2 linked regions of the Styela clava genome follow. The protein of the gene in region 2 interacts with the protein of the main gene of each other region in a biochemical or structural test. Links are inferred from orthologs where the notes say so. Each region holds a gene or a part of one and is shown on either strand. Other genes may lie near its edges. The genes, in order: ADP-ribosylation factor-like protein 3 and protein XRP2-like.

Evidence for each region.
Region 1: the proteins of protein XRP2-like (region 2) and ADP-ribosylation factor-like protein 3 form a complex in vitro, tested with the Homo sapiens proteins (2 studies listed by BioGRID). The link is inferred for Styela clava from reciprocal best matches to the Homo sapiens genes RP2 and ARL3.

The regions. Positions count from the first base shown.
Region 1 is NC_135258.1:8,469,339-8,485,981, forward strand, and holds ADP-ribosylation factor-like protein 3, read left to right. Parts: upstream 1-10,337; 5' UTR 10,338-10,619; coding exon 10,620-10,622; intron 10,623-10,713; coding exon 10,714-10,857; intron 10,858-11,324; coding exon 11,325-11,492; intron 11,493-11,941; coding exon 11,942-12,127; intron 12,128-12,554; coding exon 12,555-12,605; 3' UTR 12,606-12,962; downstream 12,963-16,643. Other genes in the region: heme A synthase COX15-like, read right to left, coding at 13,017-13,148, 13,592-13,708, 14,156-14,310, 14,668-14,920, 15,587-15,773, 16,227-16,384. UniProt on the Homo sapiens protein: Small GTP-binding protein which cycles between an inactive GDP-bound and an active GTP-bound form, and the rate of cycling is regulated by guanine nucleotide exchange factors (GEF) and GTPase-activating proteins (GAP).
Region 2 is NC_135256.1:21,844,004-21,860,677, forward strand, and holds protein XRP2-like, read left to right. Parts: upstream 1-10,370; 5' UTR 10,371-10,721; coding exon 10,722-11,032; intron 11,033-12,237; coding exon 12,238-12,994; 3' UTR 12,995-13,947; downstream 13,948-16,674. UniProt on the Homo sapiens protein: Acts as a GTPase-activating protein (GAP) involved in trafficking between the Golgi and the ciliary membrane.

The sequences.
Region 1 (16,643 bases), on a different chromosome or scaffold from region 2:
TAAACAATACACCTCGCAAAGTAAAATGCGTTGACGACACGCTACTATATGATACAAATATAGAAGAAGCCTTCTTCCACACTTGGGATTACCTAGCAACATGCGCAACAAATGGCATTGTACTGAATTCAAAGAAATTTAAATTTTGCAGAGACACAATCTCATTCGCAGGATACAACATAACACCAGATGGCATAACACCATCAGCAGAACTTCTCAAAGCAATTAGAGATTTCCCAGTCCCTAAAGACATCACTGGAGCCAGATCTTGGTTTGGTTTAGTTAATCAAGTTTCATGGGCTTATTCAATAAGTGAAATAATGTTACCTTTTCGTGAACTCATAAAGCCAAACTCAAAATTTTACTGGGATGAAGCTTTGGGAAAAATATTTGAAACATCAAAACAATTACTGTGTGAGACAGTTAAACAGGGCATACGTTCCTTTGACACAAAACGTGCAACTTGCCTCCAATGTGACTGGAGCAAAGATGGGATCGGATACGTTCTTCTTCAAAAATACTGTGATTGCTCGATCGATAAAGTTCCTATTTGCTGCAAAGATGGTTGGCATTTGGTTTATGCCAACTCCAGGTTCACCACGCCAACAGAAAGTCGATACTCACCCACTGAAGGAGAAGCATTAGCAGTATCCTGGGCCTTACAACACGCACGAATGTTTACCTTAGGTTGCCAAAACCTCATTGTGTCCACTGACCACAAACCCTTATTGGGAATCTTTAAAGATCGAGACCTGGATAGTATTAAAAATCCTCGAATACAAAACTTGAAAGAACACACCCTGCGATATAGATTCACAATGCAGCATTGCCCAGGGAAATGGCACAAAGCACCCGATGCTTTATCACGCAATCCCACAGCCTTGGAAATAACAGATACGAAAAATGCAGTGATGGACATAGCACGAAATGACCCATCATCTGATGAAGTAACAACAACAGAGCAGTGCGAAGCTCGTGTTCACGCAATTCAACAATCTGTCATCAACTCAATAAATGATGACGATGCGCTTGTGACCCTGGATCACATTAGAAGCCATGGAAAGTCTGACAAAAGCTACAACATACTCATCAAAACAATTGAGAATGGATTCCCTAACACAAGACATGGGACACCGCCTGAAATCCGGGATTATTGGGGTGTGAGAGATCGCCTATCAACTAAAGACAATGTAATACTAATGGACTCTCGCATAGTTATTCCCACTCCCCTTCGCAAGACCATACTGAGGTCACTACACTCTGCGCATCAAGGGATCACAGGCATGAAAGCAAGAGCAAACCAATCAGTCTATTGGCCGGGCATGAACGCCATGATCCGAAACTTTCGATTTGGATGCCTCACATGCACGAAATACGCTCCATCTCAAACTAAAGAGCCAATGATATCGAGCCCGGCGCCACAGTATCCCTTTCAACACATATGCGCCGACTACTTTGTACTAGGGAACCACTGCTACCTATCTGTTGTAGACAGATTCAGTGGTTGGATCAGTATTTTTCATTACCCACCACATCGATCAATCACTAAAGAGCTCATCAACTCATGTCGTGGGTTATTCACATCCTATGGAGCACCAGAAGAATTTGACTCAGACGGTGGACCTCAATTCACCTCATCCGAATTCCAGAACTTTTTAACTGATTGGGGAATAAAGCATCGAAAGTCCTCAGCATCTTACCCACAATCTAATGGACGGGCAGAGCTCGGAGTTAAAACTGCCAAGAGGATCATTCGTGATAGCACATCACCTGACGGTTCTCTGAATAATAATAAGGCAGCACAGGCAATCCTACAATACAGGAACACTCCTCTGCAAGACATTGATCTCAGCCCAGCTCAGATACTTCTGCATAGACAACTGCGGGATCACGTTCCTACAAATCCACAGCATTACCGTCCCCATCCACAATGGATTATATCTGCAGGGGAACGTGAGCAGAAACTAGCTAACCGCCATCACATCATTATCGACAAATATAACAACACATCGAGACAACTCCCTCCACTGTCAGTTGGGACAACAGTCGTTATACAATCACAAGTCCCAAACAAGCCACGACACTGGAACAGGACTGGTCGAATTGTAGAAATCCTACCTTACAGACAATACAAAATCAGAGTAGATGGCTCGGGAAGAGTGACTATACAAAACAGACGATTTATACGACCTTGCATCATCATTCAACCTCCGCCGATCATGCCATTCTCACCAACAATTCCCCCCAGCGGAGAGAGAGATGAAGACATTGGAAACTCTGGGAGTCATAATGCAGGAACTACTCAAGACACTCCGGTGGAAATACAACCAAGTCATCATGTGAGCCCATCGCTAACCAGCAGAGCTCCAAGATTGCCTAGGGCGCTTCAGAGGTTACAGCCCTACAACAAGCCAGGACGACTTGAGGAGAACTATAATGTTAACTGAACTGGACAAAACATTTCTTAATTTAAAAGACTCTGCGCCTCTGCCGGAGGGTGGAGATGAACATTACATTATATTTCATTGCATGTTTTAACTGTTTCGTTCTTGTTCTTTAGATTGTATTTTACTTAGATTGCTTAACTTGGTTGGCCTTGTACTATAGTTAATACTTCATGTGAATTGATTTAAATAATAATCATAACACAAAAAACTCATTAAACCGTTTATTGCGTGTGTTCTGATATTTTTAAAAACAATAATCGTTGTTTACAATGGATTGTTTCTGATATATGGAAGATTATAAATGAGGCTAATGTATGTACCGGTAATTCCAATGTAAATATCATTCTACTATATGAAATTTGACACATTGTCAGATTGTGGGAAAGCTGTATCTCGGCATAAGTTTTTATTTTTTATTTTTAACAAAGGGCATATTATGGTCGTCAAATGACTAGTTTTTCAAAAACAAGTAGTACGGACACAATCTGATCATATAACAGAAATCATATGACTTATTCATGACATGGTTCGCTTTCTCGTGTCTATACAGAGCTGCACATTATTAAACTGAAAAAAAGCACAATCTAAAAATGTCTCTATTGGAATAATCATAAAAAGTAATCCGATATACCAAAGGAAAATATTTCACTACAGCATTAGGGAGTAATGAGCAAAAAACAATTAGCAGAACGTGAACTTTTAATAAACAGAGGACATTACAGCATTATGACACCACGCCCAGACGATGCACCTTATTTAACTTGTATTTTACATATATCGAGATAATCGCAGAATCAGAGAAATGTGTCACATTGCTAGGGGAGAAGAAAATCGAAAATCATTTAATCCAGAGATTTCCAAACTCCCACAATTTCAAAAAAGAAAACTCACAAATTTTAACCTCATGTATGTCTGCTTGATGTTGGTTTACATAATATAAAAATAGCTCAAAAACTGCTAAAGTAAGACACAGACTTCAGGACTTTATGATAAAAAATAACCTGTTTTGCCCTTTAACAGTTTTTATGTTTCACTAAAGCACTAACTGCTTATGTCAGTTTGTGTTTTTCATATTCCAGTAATTACTGAATTACTGAATTAGCAACCCCCAGATATGTAGAAAAATACACAAATAACTGCAGAATGATGCTTATTCTTCACAATGTACGCCACATCTTTCTACCGTATCTATCAAACATAGCCTACCATATCGTTAAAAGATACCGATAGTATTTTAATGAAACAGACTGACAGAGCTGAACAGAGTCAGGTACCGGTAGTCTAAACACAAAATATCCTAGCTGGGTTAATGCAGTACTAGGAGGCGTTCTCCCAGTTTGTGGTTTGTGAGGGCTTTAACATGCCTCGTCCCATTCAAAACCTGATAACAGTCTAATAATTTATTCTATCTTATTTGTACAAAGTCGACATACTGACATACCGCGAGGCTATTTAAGTATTCGGCATACTGGCGTACCGTTACAAAGTTTCAACAAAACAGCTCAACTTTAGATATAATCGTTCGAAATTTTAGACTAAAAATTCCTTTTGTTTTTGTGCTACAGTAATAAAGAAATAATAGATAAGTCCTCCACTTGCTTACGTCACAAGTGAACACACCACGCTGCCCGATGGCCATTTCCCGAACGCACATAACAAAAGCAACGAACTCGGCGAAGATCGCCTTTTTCTATTCTCGGCGACTTAGCTGTTTATTTATTAATTATTATCCGCGACCTGCGGATATAGTATACCGGTACGGATGCTCAGGAATAAAGACGTACTCACGGCTTTAGAAATGTATGACAAGCACACAAAATGCGGTTAGTTCTGACAGTGTCAGTTATAATACGTGATTCTTAAATGCAGAATGGAGCGGAGGAACTTTGGTTTCCACTGCGAACTTGTTTTTCGACAGGTCACGTGACTTCATTAATGCTCTCAGCTGCGAAATCCTTTTACGTCGCCAGTGGGCGACGCGAAGCTTTGCTGTAGTTTTCCCCATCCCGGTTTAAGACGACGATCCACATTTTTTGTATTGTATCAATACTGCAATACTGTTTTAGTAATGAAAACTCATCAAGAAAAGATGAACATCTTACGGACAAAGATGTCGGAATCAAAACGAAGTCCTCATAAAATGAGGACCGGGTTATTGGAAATTTAATAAACGACTGATTGGATTTTATCCAGAGAATTGAATCAATATTTAAGGCATGGCAATTAAACTAAGTAACTTTGATAATGCTGAAGAAGGAGCTTTTTGGAACACATGTATATCCAAAATAAGAATATGGGCAACTCATTGTAGTAAAATAAAAAAAGAAACAGTTATCAATGGGAAGATTAATTACTAGTAAAATACAGAGAAAATACAGGGAAATGCAAGATAGAAAACGAAGAGACTCTTCAAACAATACGTGACACAGAATTAGAAATTATGAAGTATTAATTCAGTGATTTCCCTACACCCCCCCCCCCCCCCCCCCTATAGGGGGTGAACACCCCCCCTAAAATTTCAAACACCCCCCCTAATTTTGAGGTGCGATTCCACACTGAGGGGTTCTAAACCGCAGTCTGCGGGCCAATTACGGCCCGCGTGACGATTTAAAATGGCCCGCCGAACTTGAGTGAAATAGTTTAACCCTTCATGTGGTACCTTTTGAGTTTTAGATACCGTCTATTGTTACATCATTATCACAGTTTAAGCACGTTTATTTCGTAACAATTGAATTATTCCGGTATCTTATGTATACGTATGGGTATTAGGATTACACACTGCAGTATTTTAGATATCAGCCGTATTTTAAGAAAGCTTAAAGATGTCACAAAACGAAAACTAGGCACTGAAAACAGACTTTTTTTAGATGAATGACAGCGTTGTTTATTTCTTTATTGAAAAGAATCAAACTTCAGCGATTTGTCTTCTTACCAACAAAATATTTCGGTTCTGAAGGAATACAACATTATGATCAGTTGACGAGCTTATTCCAAAATTTAATTCATACAAAAGTCAAACAAACATGTTCAAAAAAATTAGAAATGTGTAACAAAACAAGCCATAACTAGCCATTCATACAATGCCAGATGAGCAAGTAACTTCATTAGTCACTATCAGTTGCAACTTGCAAATTACTTGTTGAAACGTAGTAATATATATTTACGGTTGAAAGCCGTGCTTGTTATCTATTCCCCGGGAATTCTATCAGCTAAATATTATATTTATTGATTTCATTACATAACAAACTGCGATGTTAGGTGTATCTAAAATCAAGCTTAGAGCCTATTTTGGTGCCTATTTCTCAAAATTTTCTCAGGGCGCTTGAGCGTGTCGTCCCGCACTTTTCCTCGCTCCCTTTTTCTGGCCCTACAATTACATTCTGCTGTGGATTTTTGCTCGCGTCAATCAACTTGGGGGGCCCCCATGTAGCCTACATCGTTTCTTAAATACATACCATTTTTTTAAGAATACAAATAGCCTAGTTTTATATCTAACAGCAAATTATTTACCACCCCCTAAATTTTTAAACACCCCCCCTAAAAAGAAAAGCTGGGGAACATACTGAGTATTATAAACATAAATCGAAGGGGCAATAATTAGGGCAAGAGTTAAATGTTGAATATTTGTTAAATTTAGAGAAGTCCAAAGGTATAAAGCAAAAATTTTCAAGAAAGCCTGACAATACTTTAGTTTACACATGTGATGGATTTCAGGAAAAGCAAGTAAAATTTTATAAAAAGCTTTATCAGAGTGATGAAAATTCGAACATTTATTGTCAAAATCTTTTGTTAAATAATTCAAATCAGCAAAAAGTGTCAAACGAGCAAAAACAAGAACTGCTAAGCGAATTAACAGAAGAAGAATTAGAATAAGCTTTCAAACAAATGAAGTCAAATAAATCCCTTGGTCTGGATGGTCTAACAAAAGTTTGGAAACAATTTCGCCCAATACTTGTGCTAATTTATAATAGTTATCTTAAACAATCGTGGCTGTCTCAGAACACAAGTCTTGGTTTAATAACTTTAATATATAAAAAAGGATATAAAAATAAAATGAAAAATGGACACTTATTACGCTACTTAATTTCGAATATAAATTAAATAAATTAAAATAATATAATAATAATAAATCTCAAAATATTAAAAAAAAACTTGAAATTTGGCAATTATTTGATTAGATGGGTAACGCCAATGCAAAAATAATAACAAATGGATATTTATCGAAATAATTCAGTATACCACGAGTTAGACAAGGTTGTCCCCTTGCCCCACCTTTATATATAAATAACGTCCGAATTGTTAGCATCCAACATTCGATGCAATTATAGGTTTTCGAAATCGTACAGGTACTAGGGTAAAATATAAAGGTTTTGCGGATGACACTATTGTCACATTAAAAAGTTTATCCTCTATAGACGAGATATTAAAATAGAAAGCTACAGGCTCAAGAATAAATATTCCAAAATGCAACATAACGTTGTGCGGATCAGCAAAACGGCTAAACATAGGGCCATCATACAGGGGTATTCAAATTGAGAATGAGCTGAATATTTTAGGAGACTTTGTAGGAAACAGTATTGTATCGCGGGATAAAAACTGGTTGAAAATCATTAACTCTATTCAAATTGTAGTAAATTTGTGGCAGGGGCGAAATTCATTGATGATAGTAAAAATTATTATTGTCGAATCATCAATGTTGTCTTAGGTGTGGCACATTGCCAATTAGGAAATTATGCCAGAAAACTTCATTCAAAAATCAAATATGAACTCCCAAATAAGTACAAAATTCTAAGTTGGAAAATTTTGCCTATTCTACCCACAGGAGACAAATTAAAATATTGGTTCGATGATGAAAATGGAAAATGTGTATATATATATTTTGTAATGAAAATGAAGAAACCTGCATGCATTTCTTTTGGTATTTTGATTGGATATTAGACTTTTGGCAGTGGTGCAATATAAGGGAAATCAATTGTGAGGTAATTATTTCTAATAATATTCATAGTGAAGAGGAATCAATCATTCAATGTGGAAAATCGGCCATATGGGAATTGAGGAATAGTGTCAAATATGATGATGTATTCCAAATGCAATGTAACTTAAAGGCTATTTTTAAATGTAAACTCCTAGGTGTAATTAGATTAATGATTAATTTCGGCGGTCCCTGTTGAACCACCTTCATTCATTCGTGCATGCCGTGCCTCGAATCAACGCGATATCGCGTAATTAATTTCGTCCGGGATTGCCAAGAATGACGGTGATAAGACCTGATAATTGGAGAAGAAGTGCACCCATAAATCGTTTTGTTAATATGTTGTTGGACAAAGTCGTTTTATTATTTTGTTGTTCTCGTTTTTTATGTTAGAATTTTCCTTCTTATAGTTGTGAAAAAATCGCATTTCCCTTTAATTAGGCTACAGGACCCTGGACCGATTGCTTTGAAATTTTCAGTGGTAAAGATTGTATTTTTTGCTAGAAGGCTATTACTTTTATCTATTTTAAATATTTCTGTGAGCTACATGGGATTAGTTTTTTGTATGACGTCATCAAAATTTGCGCATATTGTGGCGGTGCCACGAACGCATATCTATATATAATTCACTTTCCTATGAATTGCTTTCGACATCCTCATTCTCGAAAATCAACTTTTCCCTTATGTCTATACGTATACTGTGGTTTTTGCAGTCGACACAAAACAAAAATTCTGTGCAATTTTGGTTATTTTTGACACATATGCATAAATTATTTTGACACCTATATTTCTTACACTTGCAGTTTGCCAACTCCATAACTGATTTGGATCCATCAAGTTAATCCGCAAAACACCATCATCAAAACCCCATTCATGGCCAATAGGTGGGGGAATAATTGGCTTCGGTTCTAGACAACAGTAATTTGCCCTCAGAACATGCTTCTGTAGTGAATCATTGTTGGGTGTGAGAGTATAATCCATATGTTTGCCGGTTTTGGAAAGGCGTGCCCTTGTATCATTTACATTTTTTATATCCTCTTTATACAGTGATAGAACAAATTCTTCAGTTTTATTTATAGATGCCCCGTTAAACTCAAAAGATCTTCATAGTTGAGAAAAAAGCTTAATGAGTTTCAAGTCTTCCAACATCAGTGCGATGGGAAGTTTCAAGTTTAGAAGAATGCCAAAGAATTTCAATATGAATAGCCATCTAAGCTGTTTGCAACTGTTATGATTTTCATATACCTTTTTCGATCCATTTTATTCTTACAGGTATAGCGCTGATCGCAGCAGCGACGATAGCCTGCGTTAGGTTGGATTGGTAGAACATTGGTGGCGTTTTCTTTGTAGTGCAGTATCTGAAATGACGAATAAAATCATATTTGACACAACATAAAAATACCATTAAATACTTCTTATACTGCACATGGAATTTCATCTGATGTACTACAGTCCTGCAGTGTTTTCATGCTAGACTATATCTACACTGATCTAGATGAATCGCACAGTTTGAAATGTCTTGTATTTTTTAAAACATCAACTGTCAGCCTACAACTTGATACATTATTTCTCACCTCTCAATCGCTTAATATCTTCAAGACGGCCTAACATCAGTAAAATTGGTTATTTTCTTTCTTCCTCGCAAACGTGCATTACAAAAACGGTCATTATTTTCCGAAGCAAATATGCTGTAGTAGCCTATATAGTAGTATAAGTCTGCTGAATATTCAAGAATCGTCATTAAATTAATCATGTACCTTTCATACAATCATAAAAATACCGTATCGTTGTTTGTGGCATATCTTTCAAGGTATAGTATAACCTTTCGCCGCACAGTACTTATTTAAAAACGTTATATGAGCTAGTGATGAACTAAAATTGCTATTAGGATCTAAGGGTGTTTAATAACTTACTCATAGTTTTTAATAGCGTCTTAGCATAACTTAACTAATACCTAAAAGCCGCCATCGGCTGATCAAATTTTAATTGTTCCGTCATGCAGAAGTCACCGATCATTGGCCAATGTTGCCCAGAGAATATAGGACAGATGGTAGCACCATTGAGGTGTATATAACCCATTGAGGTGTATATATACACCTCAATGATATAACCCAAGGGGTAGCACATATTTCTTTCAGTAAAGGCGTCTTTTTTGTAAAACGTGCAACTTTTGGAAATGGGAACAAGATATTATTTGTTACTAAATTTCTAAGGAACATTTTGATATTATTTCCAAGTAGTCCTCCTATGTGCGCTACGAAACTGAAAGATAAACGGCTTCGTCTCGCGGCCTAAGGCGAACGATCATTTCAGCACTGTGAAATAAGCGACATGGCGGCGAATAGTAATCTTAGCATAAAGCTATCGAGCAAACAGAATTTATTGAAATACAGTATTGTGTCCGACGTGTACTAATTTAATAAGTTGTGTATTTTATAGCATTGTTAGTTATGTGATTAATACATAATATACTTTTGCAAAAATTATCTTGACATGCGCTTCTGGAGGTTCCCGACTCCCCACAATGATATGGCAATACTGTAAATGTAATATATAGGTTTCTAATTTTTTAACCTCAGTTTTTATATGTAATTTTAAAACGAAATAATAACCAGTAATAACTGTATTTTACAACACCTCGAGAGATTTAATCTTTGATTGATAGAATTTAAAATTAATCTATCGCATAATCCGGCACACCACCACAATAATCGATCACGTGATGCTATTGGTCAGCTGTGCGTGACAAATCAGATGGTTTGTTTATTTGTTTTCTAGCTTTCTGTCGCTAACAACGCCATTTTTTGAAGTATAGCAGGTGTTTAGGACTTCTACTGAATTAGAACGGCGTTTTTCTTATGGGATCGAGCTTTTTTGATTATATACTTCAACTATAGCTTTATTTCATGTTTATTCTGCAGATCTGATATATTTACATTCACTAATATTCAACATAACCAGTATTCAAGGAAAAGACAGAAACAGAAAAAGGGTCCGTACCGCTGTGGCTGACGTTCTTCTTGGAATAGATTGGAAACGAAATTGATAAATTGTGACTGAGACGAGAATTTTGTTCATTACTTCTTAATCTTCGACAGAAATTTTGGACTGCAAATTGAAGATTAATTTACAATTTTTCTGCATGATTTTTGACAACAATTTCTAAACTTTTGTGATACTGTAGAAGATCTTGGAATACAATGGTGAGACATTAGAGCGTTATCGCTTTTACAAGTTATATATTTTACTATTTATTTAATTTACTATGTATCCATATTTTGCTACAACTTTCAGGGGTTATTGAGTTATTTGAGGAAACTTAAATCTGACAGTGTCAAAGAGATGCGGATACTTTTGCTTGGTCTTGATAATGCCGGTAAAACAACAATTTTGAAGAGTCTAGCTTCAGAAGATGTCACACACATTACCCCCACACAGGTATTAAATTTTATTGGTAATATCACAGCGGATAGGCACCTTTCTTCTTAGTTTATCTAATAGTAGGCTACGTAGTAATAATGATTCTAATAAATTCCCGAACACAAGACTGAGTTTTGATTTACTGTAGCCTTGTTTGAAAATAATAATTCACAAATTCATGTGGACCTATAAGACATTTGGCCATAGATGGGCTGAATAAATATCCATGGAAAAATACACACATATTTACATACTCAACCGGTCTAATTTTACCTAGCTGTCAGGAAAGCTTTTAAACCTATCTGTCTAAAGAGTACTATTATATGGGTTAACCAGTTGTGATGAATTTAATAATCATTTTAATGAAGACAGTAGATATTTATTTGTTGGTACTAGATGCACTTAATAATGTACCATAATATACAGATATATCCTCGCCTAAAATATATGAACCAAGTGAGTTATGTTATAAAAAACTTTTGCAGGGTTTCAACATAAAAAGTGTTCAAACAAAAGGATTCAAATTGAATGTGTGGGATATTGGTGGTCAAAGGAAAATCAGACCATATTGGAGAAATTATTTCGAAAACACGGATGTGCTGATTTATGTTGTGGATAGTGCTGATAGAACTCGATTAGAGGAAACAAATTTAGTGAGTAATATATTTTGTAGCAATAGGACTTCTACAATCTTAACTGATCTATGGATACATGTAGCATTTTATCAACTATTAGTGATGCAAAACCAAATTTTTGAAGATTTTTCTTAGGGTCCCTTTATTTATTAAAATATGGAGATGTTGTTCCACCATCAGTTTGAGGTGTTCATCTTTATAGCCAAAATTGTAACAAAATTTTAGACTTTGTTTAATACATCCCTTAGGAAATTGATTAAAAATGGCTTAGGCTTTTCCAGCATATGAGTTATCAAATGGCTATATACAGTGGTGGAATTCAATTCAATTTTTTTGTCAGCCGGTTCTTTTCACCCGGTTCTGTTACAAAATGTTCGCTGATCTCGTAAAATTAGCGAACCGGCTGAATACAAAAAAACGATTTTGACATTTAGGAATTAATTTTGTAACATTTTCAATACCCTAAGGAATTGGAGGAGTTATTCAATGAAGATAAGTTGTTGGGAGTTCCAGTTCTTGTCTATGCCAACAAGCAGGACTTATTACACTCAGCCAAGGCGTCAGAAGTAGCAGAGGGACTCGGACTGGCTAAATTACGAGATAGAAATTGGAATATACAAGGATGTTCAGCATTAAGCGGAGAAGGTCTTCAGGTACGACAAAATAGACATTGTGTTTGCCGAACTGTGACAGTGCTATGAATTATTTGTTACCTTATATATTATTTATTCATTGATACGCAAACTGACACAGCATAAGTAAATTGAGATGGAGCAATAAATATTAAGTTTCAACAACTACAGTAACCATTGATTGCAACCATGCCAGATGGTGTGTGGGCCTTGGGAAAGTTATTCTCTACTTAACAACATATTAGTATTCAAGTGATTGGTTGTAGGTGGCTTCCACTAGTTTCTCTTTGCCTATATTGAAACTCCAATATGAGAATTTAAGCATAACTCGCACTCTGGCTTTTGTATCGTCCAAACGTGTGCATGAATACTACACCAGAATACAAAGTAAGATTTCATCCCTAGCGTCGCACGAGTGAATATATTTTTTCTTAACTTATTCTCATAGGATGGCATGGAATGGGTGATGAAGAATGTTACTAAACACAAGAAAAAGTGAACAACCTTGTGCTTTTTGTTTAATTGTAAAATGGGACTTCAGGTTCAATCCAGCCAGTGGCATCCCTAGTTCTCCACCATCACTGCGTTTTGTAAAATCTGTACATCGTTTGTGCTCATTGTGCATATATATCTTGGTTCTTTATCAGACCGAATATTTCTAAGTATTTGCTAGTTTATAGCAACAAACCTCCTTTCTGTACGTCTTGCTTTTTAAATTTATCGACATAACCTGCCTAAAAGTGTATATGGTGCTTTCAATGGTACATTAGGAAATGACATAATTGTATTTATATTTGCAAGCTGTAAAAAAATGCTGATATTTATTAAATTCAATATTATTTGTAGAATTCTGCCATTCTTTTGTTTCTTCATCTGTGCATAGTCTCTGCGGTGGAATAGTCAGTTTTGCTTACTTAGGTACACGTCTCAGCTCATGAGCCAGCCATGTCGTGAATGATAGGAGAGTAAGAGACCCTGATTGATGCATGGCCGCTGTAGATGTTGGAACATAAGTCAGCAAAGTTGTTACTCCCAACAGTACCTAGAGATATGTTAGAAAACTGTAACCAGATCTTCATTACTGAACAAGGCGCACCAGCACTAATTGCTGAAGGCAAGAGGCAAGCACCTCTGTTTACCTTAAGTGTGCGGGGATATGGACCATTTAGTGATATAACTACCCGCATAAATTTCTCCAAAATCAAATAAGCGGCCATCTACCCGCATAAATTTCTCCAAAATCAAATAAGCGGCCATAATTTGCAGTTTTACACACTTTGCTCTTTCCAAGGATAAACAAATTTTTTTAGGCAATTCCACATTATAATGATTTATAGTCTCGGCAGCTCTTTGGCACTCTAGTAGCCACCCATAACATCTCTTGGAGACGAATCACTGAGTGGGGGCACTTCACCTTGATTTGGGGAAATTTCCTCATGAAAAATTATTATACAATTTATAAGATTTAATTTAACAACAACTCACCTGAATAAAAGCCATTCCCAGCATAAAATTAGATGCAAGTATGGCGCGTGAATGGACACCTGAAGATCTTCGTACCATATACCACATACTCATGACTGATGCTAAACTAAGATGACCCTGCAAGATAAAATAATACCGGTGAAACTGTATCGAGGAGTCCAACAATCCCATCCCAGGGGTAGGCAATTACTTTTTTGAGTGGGCCTATTACATTCATATAAAAGACTTGGTTACTGCGACGGAGGGCTAGAACTCGATATGAAAAACTATGAATAAAAAACAGTTTATTTACAACAGCTGGGCTAATGGTTATATAATAATAAGAAGCACTAAGTAACAATTCGGGTCATTATGACATTATTTTTATCGACATATTCAACAGAAATTCAACAGACACAAATGGGCCAGATGAAACACCTCAGTGGGCCATTTCCACGGATAGTAATATGCCCACTCCTGCCTTATCCCCATAGGATGCAAAGCTGCACAGGTATCGGTGGTGCAGTGGCAAGCATGTTCTCAAAAAATCCATAACTGAATTAGTTTTGAATGAAATGGACTTACTAATATTCTATGATCGAACTGCACAGTGGTAGGATTTTCAAATATATTAAGCCATTTCGGGGTGAACGCTGTTAGGTCACTTGGTATCCACCTGTCTGCCATCTTGGGATATGAATTATATACAAGTCCTGCATCTAGACCAGCCACAAATGCACCTGGAGAACAAAACATGTGTTCAGAAGAAATCAAACAATAATCGAAGATATCTAGTGTATCCCAATCAGGCAGCTATCAAACATCGATATGCAAGCAAAAGGGTACTCCCGTCATGTGTGTACCGAGACAGGCCATAATTTTTTTCTGAATTTCCTTATTTCAGTTCTATTATGAGTTTGGGGACTGTCTGTGTTAGGCAAGTGAATATACCCCTTGCCCATAGGCTTCAGTCCCACAACTTGATGTAAAGTAGGCAAATAAAATTAGTTACCTCCATACTCGTACACACACTTCTGGAGATGCTATTGGCCTCAACTTCAATAATAAAAAAAACTTCAAAAACTAAAAATTCCAACCTGATAGAGCAGTAACAAAAACAAGGCTCATTAAGCCATATGCATGATATCGAAGCACCAATTTTCGCGTTGTTGATAAATTTAAAGACTTTTTGGAAAGTAATTGCGTTAATGACATCCATAGCATCCCAGTATAAAGTAGAAATGCTGAACCCAAGTGTGTAGCGAGTCTGTACTGGCTGACCCTCGGTACATCTGAATCTGCAAACCTCTCTTCGAGTCCACTCTTAACCATGAACCAACCGATAAGTCCCTTGAAAAAGAGAAAATCTAGTTAAGGACCGACAAACACTTAATTTAGAGTCAGAGTGGAGTGGAGCTGGAGTCTTATTTTCAAATTTTGCGAAAATGAAGTCGGAACTGCAAGCTTTCATTGGGTATAAAGGACGCAAATTTTCTACAGAAATTAAAGAAGATATAAAGTTTACTTAGATATAAAGTGTTCTTAAATGTCTATTAAAGAAGGTTAGCGAAAGTTTTGTTATAAATATTTGATTTTCCCTGAGCAAGGGTCAGAGTGAAATTTTTTACGATATGGAGATATTTTGAAGCCAATTGTAAATGAACAGAAGATCTGGTAAAGTACTGGAAGCTGAACCAAAATTTTTGAAATCTGGTGACGCAGCTATGGTCAGACTTGTTCCAAGCAAACCAATGTGTGTCGAAGCGTTCAAGAATTATGCTCCGCTTGGTCGTTTCGCCGTCCGCGACATGCGACAGACTGTTGCTGTTGGAGTCATCAAGGAAACTACCAAAAAGACCGGGAATGTGAAAAAAACCAAGGCAGCAGCGAAGGTCAATAAAAAAGCAGGAGCCAAGAAGTGACTGGAAGCATCTGGCCCCCCATCAATTGTTTTTCAATTGTAAATTTTCCTAATTTCAGAGACCTGGTTCCAGATTCCCTTCTAAAAAATACTACCTGTGAAACAAGAAGAGTTCCCAGTAATCCTGACTTGATTTTCATTCCTCGATTTAACCAACCTTTCTTCCAGAAGTAAGCAAGTGGTAGAAGATAGACGACACCAATTAATCTTCCCCACATTCTATGACTGTATTCCATGTACCAGATAAATTTAAATTCTTTCAATGTCATATCATGATTCAATCTGAAAATGTAAAAACTTGATTTTTAATATTAAACTAACCTAATGTTAGTCAAGTGAGGAATGTTTGGTTGGGTATCTCACAGGCTGAGAGCAAGTCATTTCTAGCCTCAGGTCAGCTTAATCATTGTTGGGTAGAAATCCTTAAAACCGAGTCACAAGTCAAGTCACAGGTCTTTCGAATCGCAGTCGTGGTTAGTTAAGTAATTTTATTTAGAGTACTCGAATCTCTTCAAGTATTTGATAACCAGAGTTAACCATTAATGAAGTGATCTAGGATTTTAGTGTTACTTCGCTTCATCTTGATTATTAATATTCGATTTTTAAACAGACACAACTTTATAACTTGACTTATATTTTTAGTATTTTTCCTAAATTTTTCCTATTTTGAATTCATTGCATTTTCATTTTATTCACAGTATTTATATTTTATCAGAATATTTATCAAACACTTACATTCGGAACTCAGGAAATTGTTTATATTTGTTGAACTCATTCTCCCAATCCTCTTGTGAAGTTGGTGGTTTCATACCTTTGATAAGATGCCAATCAACCATAGATAACCCAGATTCTGTTAGTCGAGTCACACCACCCAAAACGACAGCACCAACCACCTACCCTGACAAAAAGAAAAATAAATCAGTGGCAATCACCAGGAACATTTTTGAATTGATATCTATAAAAACACAGACATATTATACAGTCAGAATACAGACCTTCAAGATCATAAATTATATATCAAAGGACAAATTTTTGGCCACCTTGGGCCATTTTACTGTCCTCCATAGTCAGAAAAGTTATTCAGTTGCGCAGCATTTTATAACAATCTAAACTTAATATTTTTCCTATTCATACATTGCTTGTCTACAACAT
Region 2 (16,674 bases):
TATTAACCGTAACAATGACTTCATTTTATGAGAAAAATGTCAATACATGACCTCGAAATCTATATTATGGCGTCATAACAGATTATTTGTGGCGTCTTTGCATCAGAGGACTCTTACAATTAACATAGTCTCGGTTAGGGTGTCTCATCGTTCATATCAGTAGATTACCGCCGATATAAGCATAATTTTCATTATCGCAACCCACTCGTTTTGCCGAAGGGCTGCACTTGATCGAATTGCTTTTGTAGTAGGATCGTGAGCTTATTTTCATGATTTTTCTTACTCAAAACGTCTCTCTGATATCTCGGCTAAACATTCCGGGTAAAATCTTATGACTTTGGTGGAGATATAAAGAGGCGATAAATGTACGCAATAGTGGTAAAAGTCAAAATAGAAAATTTTAATTTCATTTTTGAAATTATAATTCCGGCTGCGTGTGCAACTGCCAGAATGCAACGTTTTGGCGTAGTTTCGCGGCGATGCAAGGGGTATTTCAATAAAAAATACAGAAAAATTTTGATTTAGAACAAGCCCTTGTTTTAAAACACGATGTTTTTTAGAATTGATAAAAAACAAAACCCTACAAATATATGCACACCTTACACAGAGCGAAGCAGTCCTTACCCTTGACGCTACCGCCACCCTCAAACAAATTCCGAGTTTCGCGTAGCGAAAATTTACAGAACTTAACTTTACTTAACAAATGCGAAAAGGCATAGTGTTACGTCACTTTTTCGCATCTTGCTGATTGGCTAATGTTACGAAATAAAAAAGTAAGGCGATTCTCGGAAAACGCCCCTTGGAAAAATATTTCGCCCTTTTCCGTGTTATTGCGGGCCAGATGAAAGGACACCGTAGTTTGGTGATCCCTGGTATAATTGAAAGTGTAATTGAGCCAAAATTTTAGCAAATTACAATTACATTTACAATTACACAGACTGAAAATGCCTTAATTACATTACAATTACATGAAAAACTGTAATTAATTACATCAATTACAAATTACAATTGATCCAACTCTGCTCTTGAATTAGGAATCCGAAACGTTTACCTGCATTTAAACATGCCACGGGTGTCATCTCGCTCACTCAATTCCTTTTCATAGAATTATCATTTAGTAATTATCAGACTGTAAAATAATATGTATTCTCATTTTGTTTATGTTGCTATGCCGATCTTAAAGCTGTGCCTGTGTAATACCTCAAGTACTTCTAGTGGGCGTGCACATGTCAATCCTAACCGACACCTTACTACGCCCACTAAAAAGTATGTCGCTACAAAGTCACAATTACGCCATAGAGCTTGATAAAGTATACCTACGATCGCCGGAAATGGCATCTGCGCCGACTAAGAAAGAACTCACCAACGGCGGTTATCTCTCTCATATCGGGATCGTTGCGACGAGAAAACAAAAGAAATAGCTTGCTCGATTTCGGGTGATTGTCTGCGCGTCTTGAATGGCAGTTCGTATAATTTGAAGGGCCTTGTTACGTCACTGTGACGTAATTTTTGGATGACGCAGTCAGGTGTGGGTTAGGATTGGCATATGCAAAAATTTTGCTGCGCACACTAGAAGTACTTGAGGTACGGAACTACACTAGATCCGATTATTTTTACTGAATTACAATAAGTCTGCTTCATTCATAGACTCCTAACATTAATCAGATATTTGAATGATACTTCAGCAAAAAATAATATGAGGGGTAATAGCTTGAAAATCCATTTTATATAAGACATAACTATTTTTGTATTTGTCACTCCTAACCCCCTACCAGACTATGTCGTTCAAATATTGTCACAATAATATAGAGCTTGCCAAAGTATAAGTTAGCTACGATCGACTGAATTGGTGTCTGCGCCGTCGATAACTAACTCTCGAATGCCAGCGACATCGCCATATAGTTTTGTTTTTTTATCAATTTAAAAAAAAACATCGTGTTTTCAAACAAGAGCTTGTTTTGAATCAATTTGAATACCCCTCGCATCGCCGCGACAAAACGTTGCATCCTGGCAGCTGCACACGCAGCCGGAAATATAATTTTGAAAATGTAAGTAAAAATTCTTATTTTGATATTTACTTCTATTGCGCACATTTATCGCCACGTTTTTATCTCCACCAAAGTCATAAGATTTTAACCGGAATGCTTATCCGAGATATCAGAGAAACGTTTTGAGCAAGAAAAATCATGAAACTTAGCTCACGAGCCTACTACAAAAGCAATTAGATCAAGGGCAGCCTTCGGCAAATCGAGTGGGTTGCGATAATGAAGAATACCGGTATGCTTACATCGGCGGCAATCTACTTATATAAACGATGAGAATCCCTGGCCTAGGCTATGCTAATTGTGAGAGTCCTCTGGTGCAAAGACGCCACAACTAGTTTGTTATGACGCCATAATATGGTTTTCGAGTTCATGTATTGGCATTTTTCTCATAAAATGAAGGTATTATTACGGTTCGGTCAATTTATGCTTAGCATACTTTGTTTTTAAGGTTGAGGTGATAGCGTGTTTCAAGGTTATACAAACTCATTTATTCGATCAAACTCATTTCAATTTTTGCAAAGTGGTTTCGTCGTAGCAGGGTCGAGTGAACTATAGCTTGAGAAGGTGTGTATGAACCTCCATCGATATTTGTAGCGTTTTGAAGATTTTATTGCAAATAAGAAGCGCTTGGCAAGTTTTTACATCCATCTTTCTTCAACCTATTTAATACAGAAAAATCAAACAGTACAGCCATTTTGAACAAAACAGGCAGAAAAAACTTGATTTAAAACAATTGTTTCAAAACAATTCTTTTTGAACAAATCGAATATACTTGGACAGCAGTATACCGATACTAAGTAATTTTATACCATACAATCAATGCTCACAATACAGTATGAATACACTCATACAATGACATTGGGTATTAATAAAAAGAGAAAACGGTTGTCCACCTTACCAGGAGGAAACACTCTATGAAATAGCAAACAAAATATCGGAAGGAGTGATAAATTGGAATGATTTTCCCCTAATGGAGGTTTATAATGTTATTGGAACAGACAAATACTACAACAATAACAACAGACGACTTTAGCAAATATAGTAAATAGATAACAAGCTGGATTTGCACTCGTCGTTCAGTACTTGGGTTCGATGTGTCACACTTCATATTTTACATCAACTAATGACGATGTGTCTGTCGGTCACTGTGCAGAGAATTTGAAGCGCTTTGCATGATATAAAAACCCGTCTGATTTATGATAATGCAATGCCTCCTTGGCATGAATCAAATACTATCCCGGAAAGTAGGACTATATTGATGAGAGCTGACAACATTTCATCAAATTAACATCATGACAATCGGTCGATTCAAATTGCGGAATTTAAGACAGCAATACGGAAAATGGCGTTATCAAGGACATGTAATAAGAAAATCACAATTTGCAACTTCTGATTTTACGAAAGCTTCAGTGTGTTGTTGTCGCTTATTGCCTCACTCTTATATGTACCCATGGACACTCACACCCTGTCATCTGAGACGATTACAACAATGGCATCAACTGTGCAATTTATTAACGAGATAAATAAACGATTGACCATGAAATATAGTTCACTACAATGGAGGCGTCACAACTCAAGACGATTTATTCAAAGAATGGTTCGACTATAAAAAATGAATTGCACGTGCATTGAACATGTAACATTATGCCAATAAGGAATTAATATGAGAAAGCTGTGACCTTCAAATGAAAGCTCTCCCAAAATAAATATAAAGAAATATCTATTGCTGTTAAACCAGGCGATGCCAGCAGCTGTCACATGCATCTATAACGTTCAAATATATCCTACAAATGCAACATTTGTTGTATTCTCAGTCATTATTACTAGTTTGCAAAAAAGTTATGTTGGTAATGGTAATCTTGCTTAATAGTTGGAGAAAGAAGCAATTTGTTTGCTAGAGATTCGCTCTAACGTTCAATGTCGACGAAAAAAGCTACCACATTCTAAATCCTCACTGTGGAAATGCTGTTGCAGTTATTTGCTTAGTTTAAGTAGATTTATGTTGTTAAGCAACTACCCCTTTCCTTTGTTTTCTATAGATTTCAATCACAAGTGATTTATTATGAATTTTAGGAAAATCTTTGGTGCATAAATATGGCTTGGACAAGTGAACATCGTGCGTGTATTTATTGCGGAATGTTTTCTCACTAAATAAAGAATATGTAACCGAAAAGGTTCTTGCTAATAAATTCCTGAAGACCAGTGTTGAAGCTCAATTTCATTTTGTCATTAAGCACACTTGATACTGGGCAGAAGGTAGCCCTAGAAAGATACGATAAACGCGAGCGAGTAACAGTGTGACGTGCAATTTTTCAAAATTTTGTTTCTTTTTTGATAGAAGGAAACTGCAATTTCGGTTACTTCTGCTCGATATGTGCAGATGCTGCATGATGTCAAAACTCAAAAGTCTTGGAGAAAATGCAACGATATGATTTCAACTATATGGACGAAGTGCACAAACGGCAATAAAAATCAACAGACATTTTGGAAAGACCTTTACAACGCATATGGTTTATTTGTATGGGGATATGGGAGGATCAGCACGTTTGCTTGACCTTTCACCGTGTGGTTATTTTCTATGACGTTATATTAAGAATGTTGTGTACTAGCAACGACCAAGACCATTGATGAACTGAGAGCTGCCATTTGCACGGGAAATTACATTGGAAAATATCTTTAGGATGTGCTTACAAATGACAAAAAATTATTGCAGCTGTATGGGGCCATCGGGAAGACGTTGTTTTAAAAATGTAGTTTACATAAAGTGGCAATCAAAAGCTTTCGTAAGAGTGTAATAAGAATGTAACAAAGACTCATCTATTTTAAAAGTATACTCGGGATCAGGGCTTCCCAAACTAGGGGCCGCAGCCCTGGAACGGGCCGCGAAACGAATTTTAGGGGCCGCAAAGAGATCACCAATTTTACACAAAGTATCATATCTATTGTACTTTTCCAGACTCTTGATTCGAAATACAATTATTAACAAATAATGTGAAACAAAAATTTTACGATTCCTAATGAACACATCATCATACTGTGTAAATAAGACAGTGTCTTCAATTTTATTTCGAAAATAACACTAGGGCTTATTTTCGGAATAGGTAGAGAATAACGAGATTTTTTATTATGCCAAATATGAATTAGGGCTGGGCATTTTCGAATACCTTGTGATTTCAGAATCGAATCGAATAATATTTTTCGAATCTTGAATACTTGAAAATATATAATTGTAAGCGATTTTATTATAGTAATTGGTCCTCTCAACAAATGAATTACCTAAGACATAGAATAAATCACCCAGATAGATTACTCAGATAGATTACCCAGATAGATAGCTCACACAGAATAACAAACACGTTTTATCGATAACTCACTACAGAAAATAGTCATATGTTGGAATTTCGTTGAAAAAATATGACTCCAATGAAAATACAATTGGGGAATTCCCCTCCACCATTAGCGGAAAGACAAAAACAAGATGGCGGCGATTCGAAATTTAGCTCTGAACCGATTCGAATAATTTACTATTCGATTCGATTCAAATATTCGATTCGAAATGCCCAGCCCTAATATGAATACGGATTTCCATTACTTATAAATAGCACGTCTTCATTTAAAATAACTGCTACATATAGATTATTAACCATTTAAAAAGTAGAAATTTCCTGAGTAGAACTTTCTTGCTATCGACTAGGACTTCATTGTATTGTGACGGCATGGTACTTATCTGGAATTATTCAAACTTATCATAAGACAGCGGTTTGTGTGACGCCAAATTATCACGAAAAAACTCATGGCGCACCTACACGAAAAATATGCTGCCTGATAATAAAACACAATTTTCAATTTTGTCATTGTTAATATTTACTTATCTTATCTCTGCCTGGTTTCATATGCCCTCCAAAAATATGCTCAAGTTACGACTACCCGTGAAAATACGTATTGATACCTTTCAATAAAAGACTTTTTTTTTGCAATGAGTTTCATATGAAGGAACAAACAAAACATAACGACAGTCAGTGAAATCATACTTAATTGGCCTTGGTAGAAAAGTCTGTTTCATATAAAAACGAAATCGCAAAGGGGATAGGAGTCCGCTACGCTTTTTGAACCAAGAAAAATAATCTTTATCTACAGAAAACCGAATTTTCAGAATTAAACTTTTTTATTGTAACACCATCACAGGTAAGATCGATATAATCTTCCCCTTTTTCTGTAAAAGTAGAAGATATGGGTTGTTTGAAAGGTTCACGAATCACGAAATTTTGCGACGTCCTAGCAAAATTGAAACGACGCACTTCCGCGGGATTAGGTCAAGAAAATTTGGGCTATCGACTAAGTCTTTTTTAAAAGGGAGCGCTTATATTAAAATAATTTCTAAAATTCAGGCTTGGTTTTCTTTTCGGGGAAACACAGTAGAATCACCGCGCTTGCACAACAATGTATATTCTGATCGAAAGACCCGATTTGCGTGTGCTTGCATAACAATGCCGGCTTTAATAATTGTTAAGCTAGCGGTTCCCGAAGGCGATTTGCTAAGTGAGCCTCAAAATTTATAACATATTTTATTTATTCTATATGTTTTATTGTTTCTCATTGTTGCAAATGATGTGTATACGAATCAAATTCATTTTGCTGTTCTATGATGTGTACGCTTTGTTACGTCGGGTATCCTAAATGCTGCAATTTCGTAGGCTGCAGTTTATTCATTTGCTGAACATGAGAGATTTGTTTAGCATCTTAGAGAAAAACCAGGCAGAGATAAGATAAGGACATATTAACGATGACAAAATTGAAAATTGTGTTTTATTATCAGGCAGCATATTTTTCGTGTAGGTGCGCCATGAGTTTTTTCCATGATAATTTGGCGTCACACAAACCGCTGTCTTATGCTAAGTTTGATCAATAGGAGTGAATAATTCCAGATAAGTACCATGCCGTCGGTGGCCAGACATTGTAATTCATCATTTAGGCCTGCATAAACAAACATTGAGCCAAGGCTGGACTTGCTATGCAGCAAAAAGTATTCGCACCCGTTACACTGAATAATTAAGTAACTTTAATCTGAATAAATATGTGCTTGTTTTTGTAATTGAGTAGGCCTACTAAAAGTTGAGATATAGCTGTGTCAATAAAACATCAAAAATGCATATTTCGAGCTGTTTAGCATTATTAGCGCGAACGAGGGCCGCGGTAAATCTCAATATATTAAAAGGGGCCGCGAGCTCAAAAGTTTGGGAAGCCTGGTCTGGCTTGAGAGTGGTCAACGGGGATGCGATTTCCTGATTATGAAAGTATACAGAATAATGTATATGCGGTCGCAAAAGTATATATATATATATGGCTAGCATTCATATGCTCACTTTTTTAATAATGTGTTTATGATTGTCCAGGCGATTACGACTTGAATTTGTTTATTATAAATAAAATTATCCAAAACCTGGTACCAATTCCAATAAAATGGAATAAGCTTTTTAAAGAGATATTGGGGGTGTTCCTTGTACGTTTGGTTAACTGGTCATTACATATTATAAAATGGTACATAAAGTCGATTGTATACAGCGGAAAAAAAGGGTTAAATAAATTTTTTCTCGAAAACAAATATAAGATTAGGAGGTAATCTAGTCCAATTAGGTATTGTTGTATTGAAGTAGCTTGAAAGTTGAACAACGTGAAAAGCGAACGATTGATAGTTCAAGAGCGATGCTATATTGTAATCAGGGTGAAGGGCGTTTCAAGTTTATATACAACTTAGAGAGTTAATATACCCATATAACATTTTAAAACGAATATTTTTTCAAGGCATATAAAATTTGCAGTACCGACTAATGCCAAATTGACGTTTTTTTCTGCGTTCCTTACATGGCCCAAAAAGTACCAACCATACATCTGCAGCAGCTAACGCACAGCATCTGAGTGCTATTGTCTGTTTCTTTAGAATGAATTTCTGAGTTCATTGGAACATCGTTTCCATTCTACAATATAGCAAAGAAAAGCATTATACTTTTGATGCGATCAGTCAAAAGGATCTCGAGCTAAAATGACCCTGTATCTAAATGTCTTACATTTGTGCAAGACAAATTGATCTGAATAATGGTGTCCGAAAACAAGTCTGGGATTTGTCGTTCGTATGACCATGTATCAGACATTCATTCATTATTTGAACTTTTTTTTGACAACTCGTAACATTTCATGTAGAGCCCCTGTCATCGATGATAGATTATATGTGAATGATCTTCATTAGCGAAAGTAATTCGAGAGATACCAATTAACGTCTTGCTATAATTTGAGCAGCATATTGTTACATGATTTCATCTTACATCTCATATTCAAAATCGTGGCTTTATCTGCAAATCTCCAGCAATGAAACACAACGCCAATGACAGGATAGGCTTTACATATTTATCCCGGGGGAGAGGAAAGCCGATAAGACGGCTTAATCATATGGCGAACCACGGCCTCTCGTCCGGTTACCAGGCCGGGTATGGGATTAGTTAGCCAGTTATTTGTTTTTTCGGAAGCATGGACTTGATGGTGGAGGAAGCCGTAACCGACCAGCGGTTACGTGAACCACCCTACGGTGGTGAGGAGTCCAGCAATTCTCTCGCACATGATCATCCCCGCATGGGATTCAAACCTGCAAACCCACGAAGGGTAATCAGAGATGCGGTGGCGAGCGTATTCCTAACGCTTAGCACGATGCACCACACCGCCGAGCCCTAGTATTTCATTCTTGTGACTTTGGCGCTTTCTTTCAAATATATAGTTGAACCTAGTTGAGTTATATCGCATTCTTCTTTCACTGAACGAATGCTTCAATAAAGAATTCGTTCAAATATTCAGCTACTATCCAAATATTCGTATCGCATTGTATCGGGGGGTGCTGTCTTATTTTGAATTGGGTAAACAAAAGTTTTCAGCTGATGGAATTTACAAAATTATGGCGTCCAAATTTCATCAAAAATTCATCGGCATACCCTTTGAAGTAGAACTTCGTAAATAAATCGTCAAATTACAACTCATGTAGAAAATGTTATCTTTGACCTAACCAACTATTTAAATATCAGGTGACTTTAGATAGGCGACCTGAAAAATAAATGACACATATGGCAGTTATTTCATAATAGTTTTGTTAGGTTTTTTGGTCTCGTTAAAAGATAAAAATAAGCCATTTTTAAATTTTTTCTATACTTTTAAAAGCGTTTCATAAGCGTCCAATATATCCAGATCTTGACTCATTACGCTGCGCCTCAAAAGTAGGCACAAATTAGACTACCAATATATAATGACAGTGATAAACGATTTCAAAACTGTCGGAGCAAATCAGATTACCGTTGTTATATTGGACAATATAGTCTGCTAACAAAAGATTACCTCCATGAAATATAGCCCCACTCACAAGAACTAATTTGTCATCGAACCTTGTATTGTAACCTTGAGTACGAAGTAGAGCTATGGGTTGTTTGCTAAATTCAGGTTGTTGTTGGTATTGTAATTGTTGTTGGGAAGTCCGTAACGAATTGACCAATCCATTACAAACTTTCAGTCCTTAGAGATGGAATATGCCTCTAAAAGGCTTCTACTGATATTATATTTTTCAAGTTTTCACGGACCCAATATTTCCCCAAATATTTTGGCGTTTCATTGTATATAATTAAAAAAAATACTCTTTTCATTGTGTAATGTTATACTCAATTGCCTCCGTTTTACCTGTCCGTCAAACTTTTCTGCAAACTCCGTGCTCGTACCGGTACCGTGCGATCGTGCACGTATATTTGATTATTGCTATGTTATATTATGTTATGCACAAATAAAAAAGAGCGAGTTAATGAATAAATCAATCAATGACGCATGTATAAAATATTCTCTGCATGAAATTTTATTTTCTTAGTATATTTTAGAATTACTTTAACAATTTTTATACGGTGTTTTTTACTTTATACACTCCGAATAACGCTGTGATATGTGTTACGGACTAAAGTTGTCCTTCCTAAAATAGTATAGACTTGGCAAAGCTGGGTTATTGGTTGGTTTCTTGCCTTGTTATATGGCCATATATTGTTATCTATGCTTATCCTATTTGTTATAATGGGACAAAAAACAGGTCACCTAATTTTAAGTTTCAACGTAAATCAGTTTTGCAACTTTCGCAATCACTTCGATTTGATATTTTGCTGTTGATTTGGCGAGAGGAATGTTCAGCGAATCTATTTTTATTCAATATTTTAGGCACTCTCGAATCAGGTATCCGGAACGTTCACCTGCATGGCTGACTAACCTTCTCTGGAAAGAAGGAGCTACTTTTATTTTAACTCAATGGTATTGTTAATTCGTGTTTCCCAATGATCTTGTGTATGCTTTTTGTATATCTTATGTTTTGTCATTACTTCACGAAAATATAAACTAACATTCAAACATAACACGGGTGCAAGTTTCGCTCAGCCAATTCCTTGTCATAGAATTATCATTTAGTAATTATCAGACCGTAAATTAATATGTGTTCTTGTTTTGTTTATGTTGCTATGCCGAGACAGAAGCTGTGACGCGGCTGAAAGTATTATCGACCGTTTGTCGACCGCTAGCCCTGTACCGGTAGTCTGCTTTTCCTTTCCGGCTCTTTGATTGTTTTAACATTCCTCGGTTCATTCTGAAAGCAGGAAATACCGTTGCAGAGTCATGGGGTGTTTATTCTCAAAGAAGAGCAATTCGCAGCCTGAAACGGAGGCACCAAAAAAAGAGTACAGTTGGGACAAGCGTACACAAATTAAAGTTGAGGACTTCGCGTTAGACGGGCTACAAGACAAAACTGTGGTTAGACTTCCAGGAAGCATTGATGGTCAACAATTTATAATTCAAAACTGCACAAATTGCAAAATATTTTTGTTGGATTATACTGCTACAGTCACAATTGACAAATGCATTGATTGTCAGATTGTGTTGGGGCCGATTAAAGGATCACTTTTTTTTAGGAACTGTAAAAATTGCAAGTAAGTATGATTTTCTTCATTGCATTTCTGAATTACATTCATTCTTAGACTCATAACCCAGATATTTGAATGATACTTCAACAAAAGATGAAATGTGGAGGTGATATCTTAAAAATCCAATTATATTTTGATACTCTAGTTGACAAGGCATAACTATTTTTGTATATGTCACTCCTAATCCCCACCTGACTATGCCATCCAAAATTGTCTCAATAACATCATAGAGCTTGCCAAAATATAAGTTAACTATGATCGCCTGAAATGACATCTGTGCAGACCAGATGATAACGAACTCACAAACCCCATTGATCTTATCGTATCTCATATCGGTATCGTTATGACGAGAAAACAAGAGGGTATAACTAGCTTGCGTGATTATGGGTTATCGTCAGTGCTTTTGGATTACCGTACGTTTATTTGGCGGGCCTTATACCTTATTACGTCACTGTGACATCATATTGGCATAATTTTTGGATGACATTGTCAGATGGGGGTTAGGAATAACATACGTAGAAATTATTTAGCTACCTATACCAGAAGTACTTGTGTTACTATACTATACCAGACCTGGTTCTTGTATAGCCTACTAAGACAGTAATATACTATACTATACCAGACCTGGTTCTTGTATAGCCTACTAAGACAGTAATATACCGGTAGTAAGTAATCTTCTACCATAAATTGCTCACAATTGAATTACTGATTTAAAAAGAGGAAACAGTGGTACTCCCGTAGAGTGTGTACCAGGTTAGGGTTCGGCCATAGTTTTATTCTGATTTTAGATCTATTACGAGTTCAGGAACTGTCTGTGTTAGTCAAGTGAATATACCCCATGTAAATTAGGTGAACAGAATTAGATACCTCCATATTGGTACACACACTTCTGTAGCGCCGAAACGGTTGTGTATAGATTAGTGTTGGGGGCCATTGGCTATGGGTTGACTGAAACTCGATAGGACTGAAATATGAGTGCCATTTAACAGTGAGGAGATAGAACATGGTCATACCAACAAGATTTTAATGAATAGGATATTGTTTCAGTTTACAAAATAAAAACACATCTGAAAAAAATCAAACAAAACATGACATTCAGATAAATGAAAATTGTGAATTTTGAGAGCAACAATCAGCGATGGTCTAAATTGCATATTGGTATGGTATATTCTGATACATGATTCATCAAATGTTATTCATATTTCTAACAGGTGCTTATGTGCTTGTCAACAGTTTCGTACAAGAGATTGCTCCAGGATGGATATATTTTTATTTTGCATGACACAACCTATTATCGAAGCATCCAACAGGATGAAGTTTGGGTGTTATCAACTATCCCACGCAGGATTGGAAAAACAATTTGCAGATGCTGGATTAGAAATCATGAACAACACTTGGAACAGTATATATGATTTCACTCCAAACCCAGAAGAAGGAGCCAATTGGAGTCTCATACCGGAAGAGACAAATATTGATCAGCTGTTGACTTTCACCACAGAGAGAATGGAAAATGAAGATGGCAATGATAGCCTGAACAAGAGTTGTTTACCTGAAGATATGACACTTTCTTCCAATTCAGAATGTAGTATTGTTCCAATGACATCAGGTGAACGTGGTAGTACATCTGCAGAATCATGTCTGGCTTTATTTTTTCACCATGACCGAGCAATTCAGACTTCAATGAGTGTTATTCGTCAGCTTCAGCAAAGTCAAATCACACTTGTCAGATCTAAACAGATTCCTATTCCTCAAGAAACTGCTTCAGATATGTTTGACAAATCAACACAATCAAAACTTCTAAAAGCCACGAATCAAGGCAATGTAATTGGGCTTGAATTCAATGGCCCGGATTGTTTAGAAAAGTGTCATGAAGCTACCAACTCCCTTGCTGAGGGGCTTCTTACATTTGTAACAGACTCAAATCATCATATTGAACGTTTTTTCACTTGCCTGGATATGCAAATGTAATTGACCTTAATACGCTTTGGCATTAAATCTTATTGTTCAATATCATCTGTTGCAAAATTCTTTAAATATACCTAATTGAGTGTCTGTCTTAAAGTTAAATGCAAAATCTGTCATAAAATTGATTTGTATATTTAAGATGGAATGCGAAATTTCATGACAATGTGGGGGACGCATTTAATTCTTGTACCTAGAACTGTTGAAATTATGTTTTTGTCGTGTATATTGTGCATGAAATGGTTTTGCCAACATCTCATAGGCTATACTAATTTAACTGCAGTGATTTATGGGTTTATTACACAAATTTCTTTTGTAATCATTGTTTTATGATTTGTTCAGACACATTTAAAAATGATTAAGACTTGCCAGCTTTTAGTTCATAATTATTATTCTTGTGTCAGATCAATTTATTTATGACACAAACATATGTGTCGATAGGATTAAATAGTGGCCTCATTTGCATATTTAGGTAATGCTCTTTAGCAGGTGATCAGTATTAATCAATAATTTTTGAAAATAGGTTTGCTGGCTGTTATGTTCATGATGTAACAATAGTAAACTAAAGTATTAATGTTTCAGTCAATTGTCAAACTGTGCAAAGTGTATCAATTATAATATGGGTTAATATTAATCATGCTTATTAATAGCATCACGGCACTTGTTTTAAGATATGTTACAGCTCAAATTTCAAGATATGTCACATTTTACCCTGTTTTTGTATAATGCAATATTATTGATAATTTGACATCCTCATACAAGCACTGTTGCTGAGAGATCTATCTTATCAATGTAACGAAACCTGTTAAATGACAGATGTGCTGCAAAAACAGAGCTTTCAGTTTTGATCTGCACTGCTACCATTCATATAATCTTGATATTTTAATTTTATACTGCACTGTTATTGTATTGTACTAAACAATTGTTTTGATACTGAACATATAAAACAACTAATTGTATGAAGTTGTGATTTTATTTATAGCCCCAATTGAATTTGGACCTGCATTCCCTTTTTTGTAAATATACATTGAGCCAAATCTTGGATCTTGATCCAAGACCTTCTAAAATATTACCCGATTCAATGGGGCTGCCGACAATCCCCCGCATCAGTTGCCAAAATTAAAACTACATATGTGTGATATCATCAGTGGTCATGACTTTATTGTAACTGAACTAGTTCTTGAAACAAAATGGTACCGGTACTCATGGAGTGTGTGTACCAGGTTAGGGTTGGGCCATAATTTCATTCTGATTTTTCCTATTTTCCAGTCCCTTTATACAACTTGATGTAAAGTAGGCAACAAAATTAAGTACCTCCATATTGCCATTGGTACACACACTACTTAAGCGCCAAAAAATAGTGTCTGTACCAATGTTATTAGGCTTTTTGCTGCTCCAGCATTTCAAATCAGATGATCTAATTGCCATGAACAGGACCATGATTCTACCGAATTCGACAGAAGCGTCCAATTTTCAGACCAGATTAACTTAATTGTCAGACCCTGGACTTCATGGTGTTGGCACGAGCGCCAACGTCAAGATGGTCAAAAATCACATGACAACAAAAGCCCAAATAACTTGGCGCGGCGATGTGGCTCAACGGGCTAAGCGTTAGGAATACGCTCGCCACCGCACCTCTAACTACTCTACGTGGGTTCGCAGGTTCGAATCCCATGCAGGGATGGTTATGTGCGAGAGGATTGCTGGACTCCTCGCCGTCGTTGGGTGGTTCACGTAACCGCTGGTCGGTTACGGCTTCCTCCACCACCAAGTCCATGCTTCCGAAAACAAACAATACAGTAAAACTAATCCCATACCGGTACCCGACTTGGAATGGTAACCGGACGAGAGGCCGTGGTTCGCCATATGGATAAGCCGTCTTATCGGCTTTCCTCTCTCCCGGGATAAATATGTAAATCCTATCCTAACTTTTGAATGCTGATGTATTGACATACCGTAAATCCTCGCTTTAACGCCCGATCTTGATTAATGTATCTTCAGCCTAAACGTTAACATTCCAATTCTTGGTTACGATGCAAATTTCTACATCGTGAGAATAATATTCAACTGCTAGAATATAGTTGTTTCTATTATAATAGAAAAAATCAGCACCAATTCGTGACCATGGTCTCGTTAGAAATTCTGTTCCTCTCATTGGTTTGATTCGATCTCGTCTATATTTCTCACAAAGCTTACAGTTTCTCACAACTTTTTTTACGAGACAGTCCTGGCCACCAAACAGAATTATTCGAATGTTCACGCGATATACTCACACCTTGATGTGCATCATGTAAATATCTCAATATGTCTGTTCGGAGTATTTCTGGAATCACGAGCCTGTTTCCCTTCATCAAAAGACCACCATGAATGCTGAAGTTTGCTCGCTCGTTCCCATAATTATTCACAGGACCGTATAATTGCTTATTGTTTCCCGGCCATCCAAATTTAACATTGTGCATCACCACAACTTTTATGATGTCGTCTTTTTTCGATTCACGTCTAATTTCATCCAATCTGGAGTTTGAAGCAGGTAAGTTAATCATTATGGATTGAACATAACAGTCCGTATCAGCTAACAACTGATCATCTTTGTCCAACTTTCGGATAGGTCCTCGGGACAACGCATCAGCAGTGTATAGCATTTTACCCGGAACGTGCACAATTGTAAAATCATATCTACTTGCATAAGCGACAGGTCTAAGCTCTCATGAAGATTACTTTTGAAGCATAACAGCTCCAAGTCCGTATCCGCTTGAGTCAGCAGATACAAAGGTTTCCAACTCTGGTTTCTACATTGCAAGTATTGGATCTGACGTTAGTTTTCCTTTACTTTCTCAAATGCTTTTTCCTGTATTGGGCCCCATTACAAAGCATTATTTTTCTTCATAAGGGCACGTAAAGGTTTTGTATGTTCTGACAAATCAGGAGTAAATTTTATCAACTGATTCGCAAAAATCGCCTGAGCGCTGAAACACCAGTAGGAGTGGGTAAACATTCAAGTTTCGTAGCATGGAACACGCACTTATCAATGTTTAGCGTCATACTCTCTTCTTGGAGTCGATCCAGAAGTTGTTTAGAATATTTATCATGCTTCACAGCGTCGGTACTCAAAATTATGTCATCCATGTGACAAGTCGTATTGAAAAATCCTTCCAAAATGTGGTTCATTCGTTTTTGGTACAATTCTGGGGCGGATGAAATCCCATAAGCAGTGTTCCCTCTAAGGTGTGCGCGTGTGCGCGCGCACACAGCTTTCAGAGGGTGCGCACACGCATAGATTTACTGCGCACAGACCTATTTCGATGTAATGTAACAATGTTCTCGGTTGGCAGGTTGAGAAAGTTTGTTGTTGGCTCACCCATTACCCGGTTAGAACGCCAAAATTTCTTCATTGATTTTTTCACAAATATTAGTCATTTCCAAAAAAGTGCGCACACACCAAAATTTCTGCGCACACATACTACAAAAAATTAGAGGGAACATTGCCCATAAGGTAGCCCCCGGAACAAGAATATCCCAAATGGTGTAATAAACGTTGTCAGTTTACGACTTTCTGGGTCAAGCTCGATTTGGTAAAATCCGGAATTCGCATCCAACTGAACCTTTCGCCATACTCTCCAAAGTGTGTTCTACAGTGGGCATTGTGTAAATTTCACGTTTTACCGCAGGGGTGGGCAACATACGGC